Linked DNA regions of Canis lupus familiaris. The protein of the gene in region 4 purifies or fractionates together with the protein of the main gene of each other region. This does not show direct contact. Links are inferred from orthologs where the notes say so. Each region holds a gene or a part of one and is shown on either strand. Other genes may lie near its edges. The genes, in order: WDCP, C10H12orf45, ZNHIT6, RUVBL1, DKC1, DPCD and tubulin alpha-1A chain.

Region 1 (4,094 bases), on a different chromosome or scaffold from region 4:
TCATGTGGGCAGCCCTGGTGGCTCAGTGGTTTAGTGCCTGCCTTTGGCCCAGGGCCTGATTCTGAAGACCCGGGATTGAGTCCCACGTCAGGCTCCCTGCATGGAGCCTGCTTCTCCCTCTGCCTGTGTCTCTGCCTCTCTCTCTCTCTGTGTGTCTCTCATGAATAAATAAGTAAAAATCTAAAAAAAAAAAAAAAAAAAAAAAAGATCTGCTTCATCTAAGATGTCTATAGGGTAGCAATGTACCTTAGGCAGTCAGAGGTTAAGGGTTTGGAAGTCACTGTCATAATGTAGGTAATTAAAACCAAAGCAGTGGACACCCTGGCTGTGAAAGATCAGAGCCAAGAGAACAAAAGTTGAAATAGCCTTCAGACGTTCCCCAATTATTCTGTATATTAAAAAATATTTAAATTCTCCCTGATGCTAACTGTATCCTTGTGACTATAAGATTTCAGGGAGTTTTAGGGAAAGAAAAGTTCACTGTTTTATTACTTCAGGGAAGAGAAGGCCAGAACCAGGACCTGGTACTCAGCCTATGGCCATTTAATTCTTGTTTTCAAGACAACTCAGGTGAGAATCAAGGCGCTTAGGCGAACTGGACCACTTCCAGTAGGTTTTTTTTTTTTTTTTTTTTTTTTTAAGATTTATTTGTTTGTTTGTTTGTTCATATTCAGGCAGAGGGAGAAGCAGGCTCCATGCAGGGAGCCCGATGCCGGATTCGACCCCGGGACCCCAGGATCACGCCCTGGGCCAAAGGCAGCGCTAACCGCTGAGCCACCCAGGGGTCCCCCTCCAGTAGGTTTAAACAGAGTTACACAACCTCCAACTTGTTTTTCTGTTTATTGTGTTTCCACTATAAAATAATTTCAAGTGCTTTACACTTTTTTTCTTTTTAGTCAACACAGGAGAAAGGCAAAAAGGTAAATTCCTAAAAAAGCATATTCATCCAACGGAAAAAAAAAAAAATCCCTCTGGGACTTTTTTTCTATGGAAAATGATTACATTTTCCAACCATACTGTCCAATCTCACATCACGATTTTTTCCACTTATATATTAGCGTTTTCCCATGCCATTTAAATTCTATAAATATTTTTAGAAGCCACTTAATCATATTCACTCCGCGAAGGCGCATACTTTTTCCTCACTGTGGAGACACCTGGTTCTGAGGCTTTAAAGCCAACTTTACCTTCTTGTACGTGACGCTGTGATAAGGCTCTTTATGCATAAAGCACGTTCTTCACCCCGGGTGGCTGCCCCGGGACATAGTCCCAGAAGTGTCACTAGCGAGTCACGTGGAACACATTCAAACCCTCAGCCCCTCCCCCCTCGCGGTCCGCCGCCCGGGCCCCCCGCGCGCCTCCTCCTCCCTTTCTCCCCATCCTCTCGGCACACCTGGGCCCAGCCCACTCCCCAGCAAGCGCCGGCCCCTCCACCTCCCTCCGGGCCCACCCTCAGCCTCCCGACACCAGGTAAGCTGGGCAGCTGCGGAGACAAAATACCTTCGGGATTACTGCCCACAGAAAATAAGACTCCCGGGTGCCGCGGGATCCCGAGCCCGGAGCGAATACCGGAAGCACCGGCCCCCAGGCTCCTGATAGGACAGCGGTAGCCGGGCAAGTCCCACAATGCCCTCTGTCTATTGGCTCTTACTTGTGTCACGTTAGGGGAGGGTCCTTCCCTTTGACCAATAAGCTCGGGCTTCGCTGCATGGATCTCTGGGAGTAGTAGTTTCTGTGAAACTCCATCTACAGTAAACCAGCCACACATTCGCCCTCCCTGAAGGGGAGAGCCTTCCCCCACTTCTCCTCGATTTTCTGAGTCTAAGAAAGAGTACAGGATTCCTAGAGTCTACACGGTTTCTTAACTTTTCTTCGGGGGGGGCGGGCGGGGAAGGGGGTCAGGAGGTGGGATGGTATCACTTCTTTAAAATGTGATAAAAATCTCCCCCCCCCCAGAAAAATGTACTTATCCCTATCCTAAATATTGTGCATTCAACTGAAGCTGCTCCATGGACCTATCCGAGTTACAAACCCCTGTCCTACACTTTCCCCAAGAGTGCCTCCCCATGGACCATAGTCCAAGGAAGGACCCGGTGCATCACTAGATTTTAGACTAGCTGCATACCTGGGAGACTCTGGGCCACGCCGTGAAGCAGTCCATGGGGAATTTCGGATGCTGACCCTCATAGTACAGTTGGCCATCATCTTTCTTGAACAAAACAGCCAGTGCTCCTTCAGTGATGCTGATATCCTCAAGTCTGACCTAACCATCTGGGAGCCTTGGGGGTGGGGGTGGAAGAAGAACATTTCTAGGGTCCACTCTGGGTGCCTTTGCTCAGGCTTTTCTCCTCGTGCCTATATTCCAGTGCCACTGGTCAGAACCATGCTTTCACGTCGATTTTTAGAACAATGCAGGGAAAGATGAGAGAAAAAGAGAGGGGAAAAAATAAAGTTCCATTCATTCTTCAAGCAAATGTCATCTCCTCCAAAGATGTTTTTCTAGATTCCTGGAACTCTTTTGGGTGGAGGTGAAGGGTCTAGCGTGGAAGAGGAGCTCAAGGTATAATTTATTCATTCATCCCACAGCACGAATCACTCCACGCTGTAACTAACTCTCCCCGTCCCCGCCCGTCACAAAATTTCATTCTTTGACGACAGCGATTCTGCTTTAATTAAATTGGTATCCTCAGGGCTCTGTTCTTTGCCTTGAAGGTGGGCATCTACCTGTGAGTGCTGGAGAACTACGCGGGACGGCGACCAGGGGTTTAGGGAGATCGCAGTGGGGTAATGGCCGGTGCCCTCCCCCCCGCCCCCTCCCCCCGCCCGCGCGCACCCCCAGGCTGCTCCTACAGTCCGGCAGCCGAGCCAGGGCGAGTACCCTAACGGGTGCTGCCCTAACGTTCTGGACTCCAGGGCAGTGAGCGCATCTATTTAAAGTGTTGGTTTAGTTGCTGGCTTTCGCCTAGTCGGTGGGACCGGGTTGACTCCCCAGAGCTTAGCACAGAGTAGATGCTAGATAAATCTGTGATGAGCGGATGCATAGAGGGGTGGCTGCACCGGCGGGTGCGTAGATGCGCGGGGGTCTCTGCCTCCCCCTCCGTCCCCCCCCACCCCCGTGAACGACGGTCGGCCCGGCCAGGCCCGGGAGCCGCGGCGCCGGGGTCCCTTCCCCGGGCCCCGCCCCAGCCGACCCCACCTTTCCGCGCCGCCCCGCTCCGCCCCGCCGCCCCCTTCCCCGTGGCCCCTCCCCGCGCAGGTCCCGACTCCCGCCGCACCTCCTCCGGCTCTGCAGTGGCGGCGGGGAGGCGAGCCGGAGCGCCAGCGGGGCCGGGGCCGGGGCCGGAGCCGGAGCCGCAGCCGAGCCGGGGTCGGGGCAGCAGCCGGGACCCTCAGAGGCGGGGCCAGTGGGACTGCGATGGGCGTGGAGATCGAGACCATCTCCCCGGGAGACGGTACCGGGCGGCGGAGCCGGGGGAGGAGGAAGGGTCCCGGGGCGGAGCCGGGCGGGCGGGGGTCTGGGTCGGAGGTGGCGCGGAGGGTGAGGACGCGGGGGCGGGCGCAGGGTGGGGCGGCGGGGGAGACCCCAGACTGCACTGTCGGAGCTCTGGCCGACGACCCTCCGCCCCCCTCCCCGCGCCGGCTCACCTAGGGCGTCGGAGGCGGCGGCCGCAGGCGGGGGTCTGGGCCCGCCACCGCCCCGGGGGCCTCGGGCGCCGCCGCCGCCGCGGGAGCCCCTCAGTTGTCTGCCGCTGCTAATTTCCCAGGGCAGGGGTTTGGCTCTGCTCTCCCTGCCCTGCTAGGTGAGCTCCGGGGACCGCTGGAAGGGTTCCCTTCTTGGGGCAACCCGTTTCCAACGCGCCCCCCTGAGGGCCTCGGCTCCCGCGGCCCCCGTGGGCTGGGCGGGGAGACGTTGTGGGGGGACCGAGCCCGTCTGCGAGGAAGAAGCGCTCCCTCCGCCGCCTCTGCATCCTGCTTTATCCTCCCCGCCCCACTCCGCCTCTCCAGCCATCCTGTACACTCCCATGGCTTTCATTACCGTCTGCAAACCGATGGCCTCCAAACTTAAGCCTCCAGCCCAGATCTCCGACCCATTT
Region 2 (2,444 bases), on a different chromosome or scaffold from region 4:
CCAGCTCTTTAAAAGGTAGCTTTTGTTTCTCTGAGAAACAAAATACATCTAATGATACATAAAAGCACCACAGATATCTGAAATGCAAAACAACCAGCAAGCCATTATTCTTTTTCTGCAGAACAAGCAGGCATACATCACCTGTTTCTGAGACCATTTATTTTACTATTTCTATTTTTTTACTGGATGGGCTGTCCAAAACCTCAATCTTGCCTTTTCCATCTTCTGAATGAGGAAGCTTAATGTTATCTATGGTGACTTCAGAAGCGGTGCTATCATCTTCCTCCTCAGATTCTGAGCTGTCCTCCGAGCTGTCTTGTAAACTCTCTTCTGAACTGTCCTCTTCTTTGGAATTGGATTGATTCATCTCAAACAAGGCCACATCCTGCCAAAAGCACCACGTGAGAAATTCATTTCATGGTAGTCCCCTAGAAAGTTGCAAAAACCACCTTGGGAAGAACCCACAACATTAAGGACAAATATCAAAGCACAAAGGGCAAGAAATGTTTTTAATACAATATGGCCTTTTTTTTTCTTTCAGTTGCCACCCCCCACCATGATGGTTTACAGGTACTACAAGTCTAAAAAGTCCCCCACAACCCAATTCTATACAACCTGAACACATTCAACAATATGCATCCAACAAATATTAACAAATACTAACATGAGCCAGGCACCACACTAGGTTTTAGAGACTCCACCAGAACAGCAACAAAATCCCTGCCTTTGTGGCACTGATATTTTTGAGACGGATTGGCAAATTACAGCTTGCAGGCCAAACCCAGCCCAGTATCTGTTTTTGTTTAGCTTGTGACCTAAGAATGTTTGTTTGTTTGTTTATTTATTTATTTTATTTTTTAAAAGATTGTATTTATTTATTCATGAGAAACACAGAAAGAGAGGCAGAGGCACAGGCAGAGGGAGAGGCAGGCTCTCTGCGGGGAGCCTGGTGTGGGACTCAATCCTGGGACCCCAGGAACACGCCCTGAGCCAAAGGCAGACGCTCAACCACTGAGCAAACCAGGTGCCCTAAGAGTGTTTTTTAAAATTTTTAAGTGGCAGGAAAAAAAAAAATCAAAGGGATAATATTTCGTGAACCATGAAAATGATATGGTAAGTCAATAAAACCTGCCTATTCAAACATATCGTCTACAGCTGCTTTCATGCTAACATGGCAGAAATGAGCAGTCACAACAGAGACAGTATGGCCGACAAGCCTAAAGTATGTACTAGCTGGCCTCAGATACAAAATACTTGCTGACCTCTGTTCTAGTCAGGAAAAAAAGATAATGAAAAACTACATATAAAGTATAGTGTAGGACAAGTTAAAATGAAGAAAAGTAAAGCACGATAGGATAAGCTTCTAATAGGGCCACTGGGGTGACCACTAGTAAGAGAGGGAGGGAGTGAAGATGCAGAAATCTGGGAAGAGACTTGTACAAAGACGGACAAGACCTGGAGCAAGGAGACTGAACGGGAGTACAGGAAAGAGGTGGGAGGTAAATCAGATGGAGCTAGAGGCAGGATCCCATGGGCCCTTGAGGGACTCTGAACTCATGAGGAGTGTGATGGGAAGGGTAGGCCACACATAGTGTGAAGAACAGATCATAGGAAAGAAAAGGCCGAAGCAGGGGAACCTGTTGAGAAATCACTGCAGCAGTCCAGAGGAGACCATGATGACATGGACCAAGGGTGGCAGCAGGGGACACGGTACAGAGTAGCTGGATCTGGATAAATTCTGGAGGTAGAGTAGGCCAGAGCTGCTGATGAATGAGATGTTACTATCAAGCATGCTGTCAGCTCTGTCCAGACGCAAGTGTTATACAGGGAACTCTGGTGTAGAAAAGGAAATGAGGCTACATGAAGAAGACTTTGCATGTGGCTCAGGTAATCAGTCTGTTAAGTGCATCATTTATTTTTATACTTTCCATGAATCAGGTTATGATTACTTCTTTTAGGAAAAAACAACCCACTTGGAACACTTAGTAAATTAATGCTTCAAGATAACAAATGTACTATTTGACTTGAAAAAGCCCTCCTATTCTCTATTGCTACACTCCTAAACTCCACTCAGGGAAGCTTACTGATCTGTAAGATCCCTGATCATAAAATGATCAGATCCCCATGCAGTACTGGAAATATGAGCGGACTCTGCAAGAAGGAAAAAATAACGCTTGGAATTATACTGGAAAAGTCCTCTCTCTTAAAGATGATGAGGCATACTGGTAATTTTACCCTATGAAATGAAAACAAAGCATCATTACCATTTGTATAACTTTTCCAAGAGCCCCATCAATATCCTCAATATTGAAACGACCAGGTGATGCAGCTGCCATTTCTTTTCTCAGCTTTTCATTTGCCTGAGCTATCTGTGGGAGAAAGGTCTGCACTTGGTCCAACACTAAGGAAAGAAAATATACTTTATCAATATTTATGTCAGTCTT
Region 3 (4,089 bases), on a different chromosome or scaffold from region 4:
TGGCTTCCATTTTCACTCAGAATACGTTAGGAGTCCTCACCAGTTTCTCTAACCTCATGTTGAATATTCTTCTCTTTACGCAATTATGCTTCAGTCACCATGTCCCCATTTTAATCCTCAAACACACCAACCTTACTCTTAACACAGTCTTTACTTCTGTTTTTGTCACTACCTAGAACAGTCTTCCTCCAAAGGTTCACATGGCTGCCTCTCATTCAGATCATTGCTTAAATGTCATCTCTCAGAGAAACTTCTCCTGACTACTGTATTGAAGATACTCATAATCTCCTCCCAAAAAACACCATTTTAATTTTCTTTAATCTCCTGTGCTTGCTTTATTTCCCACATGCACTAAACTCTATCTGAAATTATCTTTGTTCCTCTACTCATCTCCTGTCTTTCCCCACACAATACAGGCTCCATGAGAAGAAATTTGTTTTGGTCACTGATGTACCCTAGTAACTGGAATAGCTCTGGATCACAGTAGCTGCTCACCACATATTCGGTGAAAAAAAAAAAAAAATGAATCTAACTGATAAAAAGAATTTTAACTGGAAGTGATGGAAAAAATAAATACTTACGTGTTTATTGCTTATTGGTCTTTTTAAAAAAGCATCTCTAGAAATGTGGTCTGCTGTTCTTGCCACATCTTCCAAAAACCGATAATCTAAAAATTTCAAAATAGAAAAATAAATGACATATTCCAGTGGCCAGGAAGATCAATCCGCTATCCCTAAGATGACTTACCACTTAGGAGATTCATTTCAGTAAACTGTTGTATGGAAACATATGCAGTCTTATCTCGAACTCCATTACATGTCAGTTCTGCTTTGTGTTTCTTCACACAGGGCAAACTGAAGAGACAAAGAGGAGGTACTTTTATACTGAGGTACGATGGGTACAGACATGGGTAGTAAGGTAGGAAATTACATATATACCTGCAGGAATATCGCATACAACGTGGACATTTGTACTTGGCTTCTTCTGTACCACAAGTTTCACACCTACAAAAGCCCACAAGGAAATAAATTATCAAATATTAATTCTACTCTTTTATCTATAATCTTTAACGCTGAGTCAATTACTCATCACCAACAATTTAAAGACATGTAGTCAGTGAAGAAGGTATATGCAAGTAACTCTGATAAAATACTTGATAGTTGTCAAACATCCTTAGAAAATTCTGCTCTAGGAAACTGTCTCCAAACGACATTTACAATATTGTTAGTACTACATAATCCAAGAAAACATGTAATAAGTTTTAAATCTCGCTTTTGACTTCTTTTGCTATTGCGATCACAGAATGAGATTGCTCACTACTATTTTAACTTGTGATTCCTGGCAGTCCGTTAATGATTGTGTTTGTACGTGTGCACACGTGCGCACATAACCAGAGGTCCAATCCGTGAATTCAAATACCTTAAAGGCACACACACCACAAAAAAGTAGGAGACCAGGTTAAATACATAGTATCAGCGGCCTCTCTTCTCATCTCCACACCCAACCTGAAATGAGCACTAAAATAATCTGGAAGTTCTCTTACCCATCATCTGTCTCCAATTGCTCTTCTAGGAGCTTAGGACTGACAACCAAACTACAGCCATTTCTTTTTGGCCCAGTCTGTTCTAGACAGGAAGAGTCCCAAGAATGTGACCACTCTTCTATTTCCTATGCTGTCACATGATCACAAAGTAAAGGAGATTAACTATAAAGCAATGAACATTCACAGTATCCACAGAGGAAGTAGACAGCTGGGGGAGTTCAAGTGCATTTCTGATTTTAACGATCCACGGTATCCCTGTTAGTTTAGCAGACTTTCTTTATGCCTATCCTCTTTTAAAGAATATTGAGTCAAGAGCATATTAAGTCAAACCAGAATCTGGTCCAAGAGTTTTCTAGTCCCCAGAATTTTCTGACTTGGCCATTGTGCACTGGCCACTTACCGCCTGACGTATTTTCACTGAATGTGTTGTTCTCTGACAAAACCCTTCCCCTCCCCCCCCCCACCTCCACCACCAACACGTTGGCTCCAGAGACCCAAGATGGCATTTATTGTTCATTATTTGACACCCGGCTGCTCGATTTCCTTCATCCCAGACAACAGAGGACTCCACACCTCTATTTTCCCAATGAATCTCTCCCTGTCCTACCTGGACATGGCCAGTTTCCGTTTGAAACCCGCTGGGGGATTTACCCGAGGCTCCTCTTTCACCTTCGCATCATCCATCACTTCTTCCTTTGGGAGATACTTCTCTTCCTTTACATTCACTTCATCCATCATTTCCTCCTTTTTTATGTTCTGAGTAACAAAGGCTTCCTCTTTTATCTCCAAATTACCTTTCTTCTCTTCCTTCACATCTAGCCAGTCCATCATCTCTTCCTTCACCTTCACTTTCTCTTCTTTTACCTCTGCCTCACTCCCCTTCTCTTCTTTCACCTCAAAACTCCCATCCATCTCCTGCTTCACCTCCGATACGCCTGGTTTCTCCTCCTTCACCTCAGGCGCGTCCTCCGCCTCCTGCTTTACCCACCGGCCTTCTTCCATTTCCGACCAATCCAGAACTTCTTGCTTCACAACCGTTAGGTCCACTCGCATCTCCTCGGCCTTCTGGCCACTCCTTTCCCCGTCCTCCGCCTTCTCCACTCCTGCCAGTCCGTTCCCCGCTCCCACGCTGCCAACTTCCGTCACTGCGGTGCCCCCGACTCTCTCCCGGTCGGACGCCAGCCTCAGCCGCGCCCCCTCAGCTCCACTCTGCAGACCTCCTCCCAAAGTCCCCTCATCTTCAACAGCAATATCCATCAGCCCACGACCCCCCGGTCTCCGCGGCCACTCTGTCCTTCAGTGTGGCTTGTCCACGCCAAAAGGAACGAATTCCGGGCCCGAACACCGACGGTCACCCACGTGCGGCGCCGAAAATCGCCAAGCTGCGAACGCCGGCCTGCCGCTCTCGTTCCAAGTAGTCGTAGAGCAACGCTGCCGCGCCTCGCCACTTTACGACTCGGAGAGCCCTTTACGGCCCTGCAGCAGTCGGGCCCAGAGGCTCCGAGAGAATCGGCGTGAGGCCACGCCCACTGAGAGCCACTTCCGGGGCGGGGCTTCGCTCTACCCATCCCCCGGGGGGGCGGTGTCCGCCCGCTTTCCCCGCCCCCAACCCGTGCGCGGCCACGCTCCTCGGTAGAGAGGGAGGGAGGGGCGGGCAGCAGGGCTCTGACCGCGCGGGCCTCGGAGGACCTCGCCAGGTCTCTAGGCACCGTTACTCTTTTTTCTCTCTTTTTTAAAGGTTTTATTTATTTATTTATTTATTTATGAGACACAGAGAGAGGAGCAGAGACACAGGCAGAGGGAGAAGCAGGCTCCATGCAGGGAGCCCGACGGGGACTCGATCCCGAAACCCCGGGGTCACGCCCTGGGCTGCAGGCGGCGCTAAACCGCTGCGCCACCAGCGCTGCCCCTGGGCCCCGTCACTCCTGTATGACAATGGAAGAAACACTTGAAAGAAAGAAAACAAACAAACAAACAAACAAACAAAAACACTTGATGCCACGCATCTAGGCTTCATTCTTCGCCTGTACACTAGACAGGATGGAATTCCACAACTTGGCGTTCCTGTGAAGATTCAATGGAATCGTGCATGCAAATAAGCCAGTAGTTATTGAAATAAACTCCATTATAAGGTGGCTGTTGTTACAGGGAGTCCTGAAAGGTTTCAGACAGGAAAAAAGGGAATTAACTTTTATTCTTTCAGCGCCATCAGTAACAGCCAGTTTCCCATTTCCAGAATCCTGCTGGATTCTTCTTTAAGAGAACATATTTAGGGATTTAAAGACTGAGCCAAAAGTTCAATCCCCAGGAATAGGCCTAAAAAATATGCCCCAAAATGCAAAAAACAAAACCCACACATTTATCTGTTTCAGTTACTTTTCTAGGTTATTATTATCACATACTGGGCCTTAGGCACTTTCACCTGATCTTCACATCATGTCTGTGAGGTATTTTCTCACCTGTAAGGAGACTTCATAGGAGATGTATTTTTCTTGCTGCATAAAGGAGACTTCAGAGAAATGGCTTCTCAGCTGTAGGCTGCTTTG
Region 4 (3,500 bases):
CCAGGGCGCGATCCTGGAGACCCGCGATCGAATCCCACGTCGGGCTCCCGGTGCATGGAACCTGCTTCTCCCTCTGCCTGTGTCTCTGCCTCTCTCTCTCTCTCTGTATGTGACTATCATAAATAAATAAAAATTTAAAAAAAAAAAAAGTGATCCCAGAGGAAAACATGAACCCAGATGGAAGGTGGAAAGGCCTTAAGGCTGGCAAAGAGCCACCCTACCTGATGACACAGTTGCCTCGGTTGGATGCAAAGATGACGATGGGGGCGATGGAAGATTCCAGGGCCCGGTGCAGGTAGGTGAAGCACTCTATGTCCAGCATGTGGACCTCATCAACAAAGAGTACACCTGGAACCAGCTCAGCAATGCCTTGATCAATGTACTTATTCACCACCTTGTTAATCTCCCCTCGAAGTTTGTCTAGGAGATAGTGAGAGGAGACAAGTATAGTCAGGTGGGGAAGTGGTCCCCTTTTCTTCTCTCCCCCAACCGAATATGATCCTAACTCAAGTGTGGAGCCCACTTGTACTGCTAACTATACGACCCAGGCAGGTTATGTCCCCACTTCAGTGTTATCATCCGGAAATAGGAATATAATCACCACATAGAAGTCACACAACCGGTAGCTTCCCCTGCTGATATGTTAAGTTTGTAAGTGGCTTTTATAGTTTTGCATGTCTTCACAAGGGCACACTCCCCAGCTGCCTTATTACTCACACCAACCCATTTAGTGCCCTGTGACATCGCAGAGACACAGAAGTTGAGGAGCCCTGTGTGAAATGAGTTTTCATATGCAAATTTTCCTGTTCTGCGCTAAGTGACCCTTTCTTTTGGCCCTATGTGACAAAGCTTAGGTTAATTAACTTTCAATCAAGTGCCTAGATGAAGAACAGGGTGTGTGCAGAATCTTCTCTGGAAGGAAAACTGTGAGGAATGCAGGTTCTGAGGAAAGGTCCAACCTCAGAGTTCTAGAGGGACGGGTCTCACAAGAGTTACATAAGACCATCTAAGGTCACAGTTCTCATTTTCCAAACCAGCTCCTGATTAGCATCAGGGGGGAGCTGCTCGCAAACACAGAACACGAAGATCTGATGCTGCATTGTCCACTAAACTCATGAGGCAGGGATGGTCAAAAGAGAACTCATGGTTAAAACTGTGAAAACACAGAAACTGCTCTTGGAGACTCTACTAGACAGGTCTCAGATCACTCCACTGGCTAACATGAAACAAAAAACAGAGGCTTTAATGTTTAACATTTTAAGGTGACAGAATTATAGGTAATACTTAGAAAAAAAGAGGGATGTACCAGTTGGGAAGAGAAGCAGGGTAAACTAAAGGTCCACAAGGGAACAGCGACATTCCTGCCAAGCTCTGGGACATGCCCAGGAAGCTGAGCCAGGCAGGCTGGGAGCTGCTTTGCGGCTGTAGGGCAAGAAGGCCAAGTACCAAGGTGGTGGAATTTGCTGTGCTCAGGAGCAGTCTGGCGGGAGTTCTCCTGCACAGCTAGGGCAATACCATCCATGTTTCTTGGACCTCGAAAGGACCAGAGGTTTTGGCAGCCTCCATCTTCAAAGATGAGTGCAAGGATACTGAATGCATTCAAGAGGATGCACTAGCACTCTGGGCTGGAAGCACACAGTATGCTTTATTTACAGCTGTCTAAAACAGCCACCGACTGCCAGGATAAAGCCAGGCTCTGAAAAGGAGAACGAACCTGTCCTAAGGCATTTCCTCAGGTCTGGGGATTCACTCAAAAAGCCTCACACACGGCAGCCTGGGTGGCTCAACAGTTTAGCACTGCCTTCAGCCCAGGTGTGATCCTGGAGACCCGGGATCGGGTCCCACATCAGGTTCCCAGCATGAGGCCTGCCTGTGTCTCTGCCCCTCCTCTCTCTCTGTGTGTGTCTCTCATGAATAAATAAAATCTTAAAAAAAAAAAAAAAAAAAGCCTCACACAGTACATCAGAATCCAGGGCTCTAGGGTTCTGGTTCTTGCTCACAGGCCTATTTCTCTTACCTGTGATTTCTGTCTTCTTTGGCTTCATTAACTGGCCCATCATGGACAGGATGTCTTGCCCTCCCTGCAAAACAAAAGATTCCCAGAGTCAGTCCAACTTTCTAAGGCAGCTGCAAAAGTCTCACTACCACCACCCCCATCACACTGTTCTTACTATCAGCTGGACACGGGGTCCTAGGTGTGGAGACCCCAGGCACCCTCACTGGAAAACGTGAGGAACTCTCAACACGGAGGAAGTTTTAAGAGGTTCCCCTTGGACTGCAAGAATGAGCACAATCCCTTCGTGGGAAGTACCAGTTCTGTGGGGCCTACCCCAATCTCCTTCTTCAGCCATATCCTTTGCCGATCCTGTATTCCCTGAGTAGCCACATAGGACCGTACTCTTCTCTGAACACCCATGTTCTTTTATGATTCAATGCTTTTGCATATTCTAGTCCACCTGCCAGGAAGCACGGTGTCTTTTCCAGGAATCTCTAGTTATCCATCCAAGTTCAAGTCAAACACCCTCATGGGGCATCTGGCCCTTCACTCTGCTGATGCTCCAGTTCCCTTGGGGACGAATGGACTGTTGAGGGAAGTGTAAGGACGTACTTATCTCTGTTCCTGCATCTCCTGTCTCCAGACTCGACTGCACAGTCACATTAATCCCATCCTGGTCTAGAGCTGCTTGGTCGGGGAAGCCAATCCTACAGAACAGCAGGCTGCTAACAGGCTCACCACCTGCTGCACCCTCCTGCCAGCCCTTCCCAGTGCAGTCAGCAAGAAGAGGTGCTCTTTTGTCACCTGCCTAGCATTTTGTGATCCTGTTTTGCCAGGTGCTGGGTCACAGAGGTGCTCACTAAATGTTTAGTTGTAAAATGTAGCAGATGTTTCCTGAGAAACTACATCTGATCCTACAGGGTAGGCACTATTTGCCCTCTTCACAGAGAAGGAAACTCGAAGCCAAAGAGCCCTAAATCACAGAAAACTCAGGGAGGCAAAGCAACTAATGGACCAAGCTCATCAGTGTCGGAATGACACAATCCCCGACTTCCAACTCTCAGCCAAACACTCCAACCAAGGCGAAAGCTCCCAGGAGGCTGCTTTGGGGACAGCTGTTCCACACAGAGGGACCTGCTGGTCCAAGACAGTTCTTCAGCAATGTCTTGGCCAATGCTCGAAGGGGCAAAACACCCAAGGATCGAATTTCAAGTAAGAAAGCCTATTCCCTGCTAGTAAAGAGGAGGACTCTTCCAGGATGAAGAGGAAATCAAACTGAAAGACTACCAGCAGGGAAGACTAGGGTTTTAAAATCACACATTTTGCAGAGGTGTCACATAGTCATACTGTTCTTCTCCCACATTTTACTAGTCAAGGTGTTAAGTTTTCATCTTGCCAGCATGAGGAACAGACACAAATCCTGCTCAAAGCTAAAACACTAAAGAGTTTGCTAGAACAGGGGGAAAGGCACAGCTTTGTCGGGCTTTCTGAAATCCTGCAAAGG
Region 5 (2,613 bases), on a different chromosome or scaffold from region 4:
CCCGCTGCCCACAGCCTGCAGAGGGAGACACCCCGCTTCCTTGCCCCCGCGGAGCTGCTGGGCTGCTACGCACTTGGGGCCCCAGCGCCCCCCCCACCGCGGCTCCCGGAGCTCTAGTCCCCGCGAGACCCTCAGGCGCACACTGAGCCTCAAGTTCGGGCCTCACCTCGCTGCAGGGAGGGACCCCAGCCCATGCATGGGGGGGGCACCTCCTGCCAGCCCCATTCCTCTCCTCTTCCCATGTCTAGGACATCACTGTGAGGGTTCCCCCTTTCATCTAGTCCATGTCCTCAGCGAAGATTCCAGAGCCCTCACTCAGTTCCATGCCAGGGAACGGGCCCCAGAATGAATGGGGCAACTCAGAACCAGGGAAAGAAAAGGAAGCAATGAACTAGCCCTGTGTTCCAAATTGGACATAAAGTCCCCTAGATTTTTAATCAAACTAGTTTATATTTTTTGTTTTGCTAGTTTTACATCTGCGATAAAAGACCCAACAGAAATACTTAAAAACAAGTAGACTTTATTAAGTAAAAAGTACAACCTTCTCCCAGCAAGAAGTAATTTCATCCTTTGAAAGTAAAAGAGGGTTAAAAGAGAGAGTCTGGAATAGTTTCCTAGCTTCTGTCACAAACACAAGTAGGCAGATGGACTCAAGTGCGTGAGGCTGTCCACGCAGGCTCTGAAGGGGCACAAAGGGCCGCTAAAGCCGGGGAGGGGCGGGGGGCTGGACAGAGCTGACGGGATGGCCTGCCTGTGACAGGGACACACACGGGGGGGCAGAGATGGCTCTGACACCAGAAAAGACCACTGTCCTCCTAGGACACGGGACAAAAGATTGATCCCCCAAGTGACCAACAGGATTCAGTTCTTTTCCTTGCTCCACATCGGGTCACTGGGCCACGTGTGGAGACTTTTAAAATGAGTTGGGGGGGGTGCAAAGCAGGAGAGGGCTAGATGTCGCGACAGCCACCGGGCGCCGCCCGCAGACGTTCCTGGGCCACCCTGGATCTGAGGGAGGGGACTCCCAGCTCTCCCGAGAAGCGCAGCGGGCGGCATCGAGCCTGCCTCCTGCACCCACATCCTTAGAACAGGACAGGGTGGGGGGAGCACGCCGGGTCTCGTCCCCGAGTTCTCAGGGAGCAGCTGCGAAGCGCTGAACTCTCCGAGCTTCCTGGGACCTGCGTTCCATTCCCTCAAGAACAAAAGAGTTACGTTTTCTCAGTAAGGCTTTAATGTCTCCTCCCGACCGGGCACCGTGCCTGCGCTGGCGTCCACTACTCCGAAACCACCTCCGCTTTTATTTTCTTCTTCTTCTTCTTCTTCCTGGCGCTGTCACTGTCCTGGGAGAGAGAGGGCAGCCTCAGTGCGTCCGTTAACAACCCAATCGGCTCGACTTCCAAAGGCCCCATAAAGCCGCCTCCGGACCAGTGAGGATATTCGGACCTTCTCAGGGAGGCCCCAATGTCCCCTCTTAGACAGTCCGCAAGAGACGCCACTCAGACGCGCCCCGCCATCAACAGTCTGCAGCACGAGCGGCTGCCAGCAAACGCTGCCCCCTGCCCCTTCCGGCTAAGCAAGCGCGGGCCTCCCAACCACGTTCCCCACATACCCCATCTGCGGGCTCACTCGCGCCCTCCGCGGCAGCTTTGGCCTTCTCCTTCTTCTTCTTCTTCTTCTCCTTCTTGAGCAGCTGTGGAGACAGCTCATCGCTCTCACTGTCTCGCTTCCGCTAAGGTGCAGACAAGTGATCAAATGTGAGATCGTGGGCAAAGTGGGGAAGAAACGTCCAGTAAGAACACGGGAAGCGCCAGAGGACTTCCCGACTCAACCCAACACGATCATTTCCTCATTACGACCCCCAAGAGAGCCTTCATCTGCAGAGGATTCAAACAACCTCCGCCCCAAAGACCGGGAAGCCACGGGCCCAGCAGGAGCACCGGAGCAGCAGGGCCGGGGGCCCCAGGGGGCAGCCAGCAGCGCCTCCCAGCTCGCTCCCTGCACCCACGCTGTACTCTCAAGCCGCGGGTCCCCAACCCTGAGAAGTCGAGGTACTACTGCCTACTGTCCTCCAACTTCCCAACACCGATCCCGTGCTGCCTAGAGGTGGTCAGCCTCAGGTGATTCTGCCCCCCGAGCTTCGCACAGTGGATTTCCACACAGCTGTGCCACCATCTGACCCAGGGTGGGGCCAGGAGCCCATGGACCCCTCTGCGCTCCAGCACTGCTGCCTCAGCTGAGGTGGGAGCCGAGGCCAATGTGAGCTGAGCCCGTAGCGCTCCTGGCAGCCACAGCAGGGAACGCCCCCTGGAACCCGCTCAGCACCGACGGGCACCCCGACGCCTGGCACAGCATGGTCTCCGCTGTGCGGGGGTGGGGAGCGGGCTGCGTGGGGCCACAACACGGGCCTGGTGTGCAATCACGCTCAGGACCAGCGGACACCCCCCCTCCGCCGGGCACAGGGCGCAGCGCTTGCAGCATGCCACCTACCTTCGGGGCTTTCACCACTTCGGCAGCCACTTTGGGGGACTTTACTACCTCGGTGACTTCCTGTGCGGCTGTTCCTGCCTTGGCTACCACCTCTTTCTTTGCAGAGTCGCTGCAAGAGAGGTAGGA
Region 6 (4,101 bases), on a different chromosome or scaffold from region 4:
TACAGTCAACTGGTTTTTCTTTTGTGGTTACTACCCAGGAGTTGTAATTATCTGTATTTTATTCTATCACATATTTACTTTATAGCTATATATGTGTATGTGTGTGTATATATATATACACACACATAATTTTATTAGTATACTTTGGTAAAAAAATATATATATGACTGTACATGCATGAAGAAATATGAAAGTTTATGCATGAAAATGTAAATTATGGTGGTGCCTAGGTGGCTCAGTTTGTTGAACATCTGCCTTTGGCTCAGGTCATGATTCCAGGATCCTGGGATTGAGCCCCACATCTGGCGCTCTGCTCAGCAGGGAGTCTGCTTCTCCCTCTGCCTCTGCCAGTCTTGCTCACTCTCTAATAAATAAAATCTTTTAAAAAATGTAAATTATGATTATCTCTAGATGGTAGTTGATAGGTGACTTTAGTTATTTTTCATATTTCCATAATGAGCATCAATTCTTCCTGAAAAAAAATTCAAGAGTATTGGGTTCTCACTACCAATAGCAGTGATTTTTTTTGTGAGAGGGAGGTAATATTCTCCACATACCCAACAGGAAAGTAAATCTATAGGAGAGGTTTGACAAGATGTATCCAATCCATATACTTAACATTAATTATTATTATTTGACTTGGGGGAAAAAAAGACCAACAGCATTGTTGTGGATGCTACTAACAAAAAAACCTAACAAAATCCTAGATGATGTAATATTTGTTAAGAACTGTCCTGTGACCAAAGGAAGTGAAAGCAAGAACTCGAATACTTGTACCCCCATGTTCAGTCCAGTACTACTCACAATAGCTAAACAAGTGGAAGCATCTGTCCATCAACAGATGAATGGATAAATACAATGTGGCATATGCATACATACAGTGGAATGTTATTTAGCTTTGATACATGCAACATAGATGGGCGTTGAAATAAGTGGTTGCTAAGTGAAATATGCCAGTCACAAAAGGACAAATATTGTATGTCTCCACTTACATGAGGTTCCTGCTATAATCAATTCCATAAAGACAGAAAGTGGAATGGTAGTTGCCAGAGGCTGGGAATGGGGGAATTAGTGTTAACAGGTACAGAGTTTCAGTTGAAGAGATCCAGTGCTGGAGATGGATGGTGGTGATGGTTGCACAACAATATGAATATACTTCATGCCACAGAACTGTATCATTAAAATGGTAAATTCTATATTATCTATTTCTTATAATAAAACCAGACACCACTGTCCTATGAAAATAATGTCCAAAATCTTTAGCTTGGCATAAAAGGTCTATCACAACATACCCAATTTATTTAAAATCCTTCATTTCCCACCATTTCTCCTCACTGCTCCTTGAGAAAAGAGAACTTTTATTCACCTTGCATCCTAGCACCTGGTACCTGACAGTGTGGGGGGTTATGGCTAGGTGACTGTTACTGTTTCAGCCTCACTAAATGTTTTGTTTTCCCCTAGTAATCAGCCATATACTTTCACACCTCCATGCCCTTTTTTTTTTTTTTTTTTTTTTTTACATGTGAGTCATTCCTTCTAGAACAGCCATCTCCTCTTCTACACTTAGCAAACACATTAATTCCTTAGGACCCATAAACTTTACCTCTTCTGTCAGGTCTTCTTTCAAAGAGATGATCATTTCCATCTTCGTGCTCTCATACACTTTACAGAAAATCCCAACGTCTACTTAACACACATTTATTTACATATCTTTTTTTCATTCTCTGCTCTAATACACAACCTAGCACATAGTAAAAGCCTCCCTAAATGCTGCGTGAATGAACGAGCAAATGAGCAGGTGATATTAATTTCCAAGCTTCCCTGATTGGCCTCCTCCGGTGGATGGATGGATGTGTGCTTCCAGCTGGTATCCTCAAGCTACATGAATTTAGACCTAATTCATCTGGCTGCCAAGTGCGTCCAGGAAAGGACTTCTGCGGCAATGGGGGGTCCTACACCCGCCAATCCTAGAGTGAGACAAAATCAGGACTCCTTACCCCTATGCCCACCTTTCCCAGGCACAGCGCTGGGGCCCTTGCTGTTTTTCCCTATAGATCCCAGGGAATATTTAGAAGTTCACTTACAAACATATGACAGCTGGAAAGGACATCAGAGATTGCCCATCCAGCTCATTTTACAGACGAGGAAAATAAGGCCCAAGCAAATAAAGAAGCTGTGATTTAATGGCAGAGTAGTAACTAGGGCCCAGGTCTCCCCACCTCTTCAATGACACCAGGCTGCATTCAGCAACAGAACCCTACCGAGTGGACAACGGGCTAGGGCTGGTCTAAAACCCTCTTCAATTTCAGTTTCCTCTTCCCGTAAAATGGGGTGGAAATTAAAGAGCTGCTTGGGACAGCTGTCTGGAGCAAATAACATAACGAATATGAAAGGAGTTTTTATTAGTAACAGAACTCAGAGCGGGGCGAAGTGGTGTAGAGGGAACTAGGAGGTGTCCAGAGGCGCGTGTTCCAGTCACGTCATCGCTCTGGGCCTCAGTTTCCTCATCTGCCAAAGCAGGACCGGGCCTCGTCTGGCAGCCGCGGCCCTTTCAGCTCGGCCGTCCCAGGCTCGAAGGCCCTTCGCGGAGGCCCCAGTCCGAAGGGCTGGGCCCTGGGGGAAAGGACTAGGGAGTTCGTGGGGGGCCTCGAGTTACCGTCCTGCAGCAGCGCCGTCTTCTCGGCGGTCCGCAGACACTCCAACCAGCCGGTTACCGCCATCTTCCCTCCAGCCAGCCGCGCGACCGGCCGCTGCCATGGCAACCATTCCGCCTACGGTCACTTCCGGCCGACCCGGAAGGTGTTCCGGGCATTTGGCCTCCCTCCCCCCACCCTTTTCCCACCCGCCACGCCCTTCGTCCGCTCTCATTGGCTGCTCTGGTAAGTGGTTTACTCCGGCCGGCTCGCGGGTGAGCCGCGGGGTCCGACCACCGCGGACCCAATCGCGGCGGGGGGAGCGGTCCTTAGGGCAGGGTCCAGACCCTCCAGCCCTCCTCTGGCCCCCAGCTGGGAGTCCCTGGGTGCGCGCCAGCTGGGGACGCGGCGGGGACCCCACAGCTGCGGGTCGTCTCCACCCCCAGCTGTGAGGCCGAGACTCCCCCCAGCCTCGGAAGGCGCCCTAACACCTGCTGTGGCCATGCCCCGTCTCCCCGCAGCTGCGGGGCTGAGCTCCCCCGAACTAGAGGCCCACCACCAGGGCAGGTGTAGGGCGTTCCCCCGCCCCCCGGACACCCTCACCCCGAGGGTTTCCTCTGCGGGCCTGTGATGGGGTAGAGGAAGATCATGTGGGATTTAAATGCAGATTCATCTAAGTCCGTCAATCCTCTTGGGAGCCCAAGCCCTTTCTAAAGATGTAGCTCCATTTCCTAGCCTGGCATCCCCTTTTGGTAAAGCCCTTTCAAAGTGGGATGCTGCAGAGCAGACACTACACTGACTCTTTAGAGCAACCATCTGAGGAGTATCATTTTGTACCCCTCCAGAGTTCCTCAATAGTCCCATTCTTCCCTTTATATCCCCCAGTATTCTGACTTTGAAAGGCTGGTAAGTGCTAGGCTAAATTGCTGAAGCTCAGCTGGGTTTTGGGAGACCCCTAGGGGAACTGAGGTACTGCCTCCAAAGTCCGGTTGTTAGAGACAGCACCTCCATAGGCAAAGGGTTGGGTAACCTCAGTTCTGGGTTTCCACATGACAGTTGGCCCGATCAAACCTAAAACTGAAAGGCCGTGATTTGGCCAATACCCCAATGGACCCTGGGGGCATCTTGAAGGCATTTCCCAAAAGGAGGAAAATTCATGCCAATCCATCATCAAAAGCACTTGCAAAGATTCCCAAGCAAGAAGGTGGAGAAGAAGAAAGAGGTGAGCAGATCCACCCTCAGAGCCCTCATGTACTTGAACCCCTAGGCTTCCTATATTGTTCATGACTAGAATCAGATAGTAGAGCTGATTTCTGCCAACCCATGGCCTGCAGGTTGGTTTGTGTATCTGTTGTACCAGGCTTGGGCCCCAGTCTTTGCCAGGCCACTTGGCTGTGTTATTTTCTAACCCATCCCTAGACCTCTGTTAATCAGAAAATACTCTCTGGCCCCTAAGGAAATGACCAGC
Region 7 (4,082 bases), on a different chromosome or scaffold from region 4:
ACAAAACAAAACAAAACATCGTATCTCAAATGTCTTCCTTCAGATCCTTATTTACTTTATTCTTGAGAATAAACATACCAGTTTCCGAATTCGGTCCAAGACAAGGTCAATGATCTCCTTGCCAATGGTGTAGTGCCCTCGGGCATAGTTATTGGCAGCATCTTCCTTGCCTGTGATGAGCTGCTCAGGGTGGAAGAGCTGGCGGTAGGTGCCAGTGCGAACTTCATCTGGAAAAGGAAAACAAGGTGGCCACCCATCACTAACAACCTGCATGACCCTGCTCAGCCCCAGGCTGTCAGTGGAGCCTCAGACAGACCTCCTGTCCCAGTGCCCCGGGAGCTCACTTGGGTTACTGAGGCCAACTCACCAATGACTGTGGGCTCCAGGTCTACAAACACTGCCCTGGGCACATGCTTGCCAGCGCCCGTCTCACTGAAGAAGGTGTTGAAGGAGTCATCTCCTCCCCCAATGGTCTTGTCACTTGGCATCTGGCCATCGGGCTGAATGCCGTGTTCCAGGCAATAGAGCTCCCAGCAGGCATTGCCGATCTGGACACCTGCCTGGCCAACGTGGATCGAGATACACTCACGCTATGGGAAGGAAAAGAGGAAAATTGTAAATTAGGTTGTGGTAGCATTTTGAATTTTTAGTTAATTTTTGAAAATATTTCTAATAATATACAGGTATTCTTCAGGTTTAGTTGAGATTATCCCTAATTCAATAGAAATGATTAAGGAAAGCACCTGCTACAAATGCTGCAGATGGGTGTGGTCTGAATAATAATGTTGCACTGTTTCGCACATGTGCAAGCCCATTGTTTCCAGTCATGCTTAAATATAATTTTTTTATTTAAAAATATTTAAAGCACGGATTTTGTAAAATGAAGCAAATTAAATTTAATCATTAATTAGTTGGAATCAATATTACTATTCTTGCCCCTTTAAATAAGAGTTTCTTCTACATATGACTTGGTATTTTAACATGGACATCTGTGCTGCAGCTGAAGCTAGATGCCACACCCCTTTGCAGTGTATCTGCAGAATCCATTAGTACTAGGGGATTGGAAGCTAACAAGGTCTGCCTCCTGCACTGCTGCATTGCTGCATTTGCTGTGCCTGGTACTAGCCTATTCTGTCTGCTACATTATTTAACAGAGTAAGTTCTATTTCCAGAAACTGCCTACATGATCTCATTGTGCTATTAGCCAGTTTTCCTTCTGTGACCCGGGCTGGGACCATATGCCTAAACTGAAATGAATTAATGTAGATTCACTAGAACAAAAGACAGCTGAACAGAGAGTACATAGTTCTTTGTCTGCAGCATTTTCATTACTTAAAAAGATGTCCTTCCAGAATCTTCTCCACTGCAAAATAAAAAAAAAAACCCTGAAAAATTATTAGAATCTTTAAAACAATAGTTCCTAAATTAGAAAAGTATCAGAGGACCTACCTAAGAATAAAAGCTCAGTGCAAGGATAATGAAATATTTATTTAAAATAATAAAATAGTATTTTCATTCTGAGATTCTCTACTCACCACAGAATATTTCTACTCATCACGTTGAATAAGAGATTTTCTTCCCTATAGTCTTTATGGCTACAGCTTCCATTGTCTAGCCATTGTCTATTCACTGACATTTGGGCGGGGGTTGGGGGCGGGGGGGTGGGGTGGGGAAGGGCGTTTCCCTGGGTCCTGGGCAGTAGGGTACCCTGGCTCTCAAAGTGAGCTTTTTCTCTTGCTGGACGTGCCGTGCGGCTAGCACACAGACAGACAGACAGACACATACACACACACACACACACACACACACACACACTCACTCCAGTCAGGGCGGGGTCGCCCCAGACCAGACTTTAAAGGGCTTGTGAAGAGAACTGTGATTTTGCATCTCAAGAAAGAAATATTTCATCTACGTTTTAACAGTGAATGAAAAACCTTTTAACGCCTACAGTTCCACAACGATGAAAGGCTTTTAATAAAAGTCTCCGACAGAGGAGGCTTAGAGAGGACGAGCGAACCCCGCCCCGCGGCTCCAAGGCCGGAGAAGCCAGAAACAAACAACTCCGCCCCTGCGCCGCCCCGACGCCGGCTGCCCGGGGTTCCAGCAGAAACTAGCCATTTTCCCCCGTGCAGACGCGGGTATCTCCCTAGAACGCCACCGACCCCGGAGCGATCTTCTTCCTCTAGCCCGGGGCTGCGCTTTGTCCCGCTCCTCTCCCCCTCCCCCTGCCCAACTGCACCCGCCGCGCCCGGGGCTGGGGGACCTCTTCTCGCCCTCCCCCTGGGACCAGCGCCAGGAAGAAAAGCCTGTCCGAGCCACACATACACCGGGGCCGCCTTTCCCTGCCCCAGATCCTGTCGTCACCGACAGACGGGCTGCTCGCGGCTCGGAAGGGCTCAGATAACAAGGACTCGCTCGGCGCCGCCTTTGTTCTTCCCCACGGTTCTGCTGCGCCCCGGGCGCAGTCCTGGCTGCGCTCCCGCACCCGCACCCGCACCCGCACCCCGCGCTGCGGCGGCGGCCGGGCTCGAGGATTTGGGGCAGCGAAGCTACACCTCGCAAACAAAGCATAAAGGCTGACCCTTACCCAAAGAAGCTGTAAAGGAAAGAAGGAAAGAGGGCTTCAGGTTTTCCCAGCAGATCTTGGGGGACTGACCCCACCCAAGGGCCACAAAGAGCCAGAGAAGGAAGATTCTTACCATGGTTGCTGCTTGGCGGCTGCCGGGCGGATGGCGGAGAAGAGGAGAGGTTGTTGCTTCTTACAGCGCGACTCTTAGGCGGTCGATGTAAGAGAACCTGCGGCACATGGGCGGATGCGGCTCCCTATATACAACTCGGTCACCATGGGGATGGGCTGGGGCCTTTTCCTGTTGGTCCAGACCCCCTCAATCTGCCCGGAGAAGTCACGACAGGAGAGTGGTGATTGGTGCAAGCAACATGGGATGAGGTAATCTCTCCCCCACCCCTTTTTCCCTAGCATCCATAGACTGTTTGCATCCTCCAGACAAAGAGACTGTGCAAAAACAGTCAGCCGAGCATCCATGATGGGGTGGGGTTGGGGGGCGGGTGGAGAAAAGAAGAAAGAAAACTTGAATTGGATGATTTTGCTATTGCTTAAACCTCACACTTACAGTTAAAATCACCAGTGTAGGTTTTTTTTTTTTTCTCCAACACTTAGATCGCAGAATTTGTGTTCACATGAAATATTTGATGGAAAATTACTCCCAGCTCCTCTCTCAAAATATACTAAGTTCTACCACATTCGGTGAGGCTTCAACGTCTCTAATTGCTTTATAGATAAAGTAGGAGAAAAGATGGGAATGATGCTTAAAAAGGCTTGGGTGCATGTGATTTTTTTTTTTAATATAAAAAGAAGGTTCAGTAATAGAGCCATCCAAAATGGCTTTTGAGGTTCAAGTAATTTATCTTCAGACCTTCTTTTGCACCCCTCCCCCAAATAGCTAAACAAAAGGGAGGATGGAAGAAAACCATACTAAATATGGAAGCACACAAGTAGTTCTAACACGGTGATAATTAAGATCTAAGAAACCTACTGTAGTTAAATAGTCTACTAGAAATACTCTTTTACCAGAAGTCTGTGTGATTACTATATTTTATGTAGTGTATTATTCCTTAAGATGAATCATCTTTCCTGATAACAGAATTGAGAAAATACAAGGAGTTCAGAAACTAGTTCTAGTACCTGTGCATGCAGTTATTCTCGGCATTGTTCTCCCCGCCCCCCGCCCTTTTTCTGGAAAGGAAGAGAATAACTAAGACATCAAATTTAAAAGGAGAGCTGTATAATGTAAGAAAGAAGACATTTTATAATTTTGTCTCCATCCACAGACAAGTTTGTCAGCTCGATAACTGCATTTCTTTTTTTATGTAGTTCTTGTGTGAATTCAGTAAATCTTCTCAGAGATTGGACTTCTAACTGTGGGAATTGTAGACAGCCTCACACCGTTGCTATTCAACTAGAGACTGTGGTGGTTGCTCAATTGCCTCTTGGGACAAAAAGGCTTTGCTTTCAGCCCTAGGAAATGGATTGCAGTAACATTCTTTTGCTATTTAGAAAGGCT

What was found.
Region 1: the proteins of RUVBL1 (region 4) and WDCP purify together in Homo sapiens (affinity purification with mass spectrometry; 6 studies listed by BioGRID and IntAct, counting the BioPlex papers as one, with this or other methods). This does not show direct contact. The link is inferred for Canis lupus familiaris from reciprocal best matches to the Homo sapiens genes RUVBL1 and WDCP.
Region 2: the proteins of RUVBL1 (region 4) and C10H12orf45 purify together in Homo sapiens (affinity purification with mass spectrometry; 4 studies listed by BioGRID and IntAct, counting the BioPlex papers as one, with this or other methods). This does not show direct contact. The link is inferred for Canis lupus familiaris from reciprocal best matches to the Homo sapiens genes RUVBL1 and NOPCHAP1.
Region 3: the proteins of RUVBL1 (region 4) and ZNHIT6 purify together in Homo sapiens (co-immunoprecipitation; 3 studies listed by BioGRID and IntAct, counting the BioPlex papers as one, with this or other methods). This does not show direct contact. The link is inferred for Canis lupus familiaris from reciprocal best matches to the Homo sapiens genes RUVBL1 and ZNHIT6.
Region 5: the proteins of RUVBL1 (region 4) and DKC1 purify together in Homo sapiens (affinity purification with mass spectrometry; 4 studies listed by BioGRID and IntAct, counting the BioPlex papers as one, with this or other methods). This does not show direct contact. The link is inferred for Canis lupus familiaris from reciprocal best matches to the Homo sapiens genes RUVBL1 and DKC1.
Region 6: the proteins of RUVBL1 (region 4) and DPCD purify together in Homo sapiens (affinity purification with mass spectrometry; 6 studies listed by BioGRID and IntAct, counting the BioPlex papers as one, with this or other methods). This does not show direct contact. The link is inferred for Canis lupus familiaris from reciprocal best matches to the Homo sapiens genes RUVBL1 and DPCD.
Region 7: the proteins of RUVBL1 (region 4) and tubulin alpha-1A chain purify together in Homo sapiens (affinity purification with western blotting; 3 studies listed by BioGRID and IntAct, with this or other methods). This does not show direct contact. The link is inferred for Canis lupus familiaris from reciprocal best matches to the Homo sapiens genes RUVBL1 and TUBA1A.

Annotation. Positions count from the first base shown.
Region 1 is NC_049238.1:18,592,666-18,596,759, forward strand, and holds the start of WDCP (WD repeat and coiled-coil-containing protein), read right to left. Parts: upstream 2,801-4,094; 5' UTR 2,308-2,800; coding exon 2,126-2,307; intron 1,857-2,125; exon of another isoform or gene 1,703-1,856; intron 1,627-1,702; exon of another isoform or gene 1,501-1,626; intron 1-1,500. Other genes in the region: peptidyl-prolyl cis-trans isomerase FKBP1B, read left to right, coding at 3,416-3,452.
Region 2 is NC_049231.1:34,426,757-34,429,200, forward strand, and holds part of C10H12orf45 (uncharacterized protein C12orf45 homolog), read right to left. Parts: intron 2,402-2,444; coding exon 2,265-2,401; intron 386-2,264; coding exon 158-385; 3' UTR 1-157. UniProt on the Homo sapiens protein: Client-loading PAQosome/R2TP complex cofactor that selects NOP58 to promote box C/D small nucleolar ribonucleoprotein (snoRNP) assembly. Acts as a bridge between NOP58 and the R2TP complex via RUVBL1:RUVBL2.
Region 3 is NC_049227.1:62,877,369-62,881,457, reverse strand, and holds the start of ZNHIT6 (box C/D snoRNA protein 1), read right to left. Parts: upstream 2,801-4,089; coding exon 2,151-2,800; intron 1,005-2,150; coding exon 939-1,004; intron 855-938; coding exon 748-854; intron 668-747; coding exon 582-667; intron 1-581. UniProt on the Homo sapiens protein: Required for box C/D snoRNAs accumulation involved in snoRNA processing, snoRNA transport to the nucleolus and ribosome biogenesis.
Region 4 is NC_049241.1:2,139,297-2,142,796, forward strand, and holds part of RUVBL1 (ruvB-like 1), read right to left. Parts: intron 2,082-3,500; coding exon 2,018-2,081; intron 421-2,017; coding exon 222-420; intron 1-221. UniProt on the Homo sapiens protein: Possesses single-stranded DNA-stimulated ATPase and ATP-dependent DNA helicase (3' to 5') activity; hexamerization is thought to be critical for ATP hydrolysis and adjacent subunits in the ring-like structure contribute to the ATPase activity.
Region 5 is NC_049260.1:123,939,308-123,941,920, reverse strand, and holds the end of DKC1 (H/ACA ribonucleoprotein complex subunit DKC1), read right to left. Parts: intron 2,597-2,613; coding exon 2,488-2,596; intron 1,730-2,487; coding exon 1,610-1,729; intron 1,341-1,609; coding exon 1,275-1,340; 3' UTR 501-1,274; downstream 1-500.
Region 6 is NC_049249.1:14,386,540-14,390,640, reverse strand, and holds the start of DPCD (protein DPCD), read right to left. Parts: upstream 2,801-4,101; 5' UTR 2,721-2,800; coding exon 2,657-2,720; intron 1-2,656. Other genes in the region: POLL (DNA polymerase lambda), read left to right, coding at 3,741-3,855. UniProt on the Homo sapiens protein: May play a role in the formation or function of ciliated cells.
Region 7 is NC_049248.1:41,239,328-41,243,409, forward strand, and holds the start of tubulin alpha-1A chain, read right to left. Parts: upstream 2,801-4,082; 5' UTR 2,703-2,800; coding exon 2,700-2,702; exon of another isoform or gene 1,849-2,699; intron 591-1,848; coding exon 368-590; intron 228-367; coding exon 79-227; intron 1-78. UniProt on the Homo sapiens protein: Tubulin is the major constituent of microtubules, a cylinder consisting of laterally associated linear protofilaments composed of alpha- and beta-tubulin heterodimers.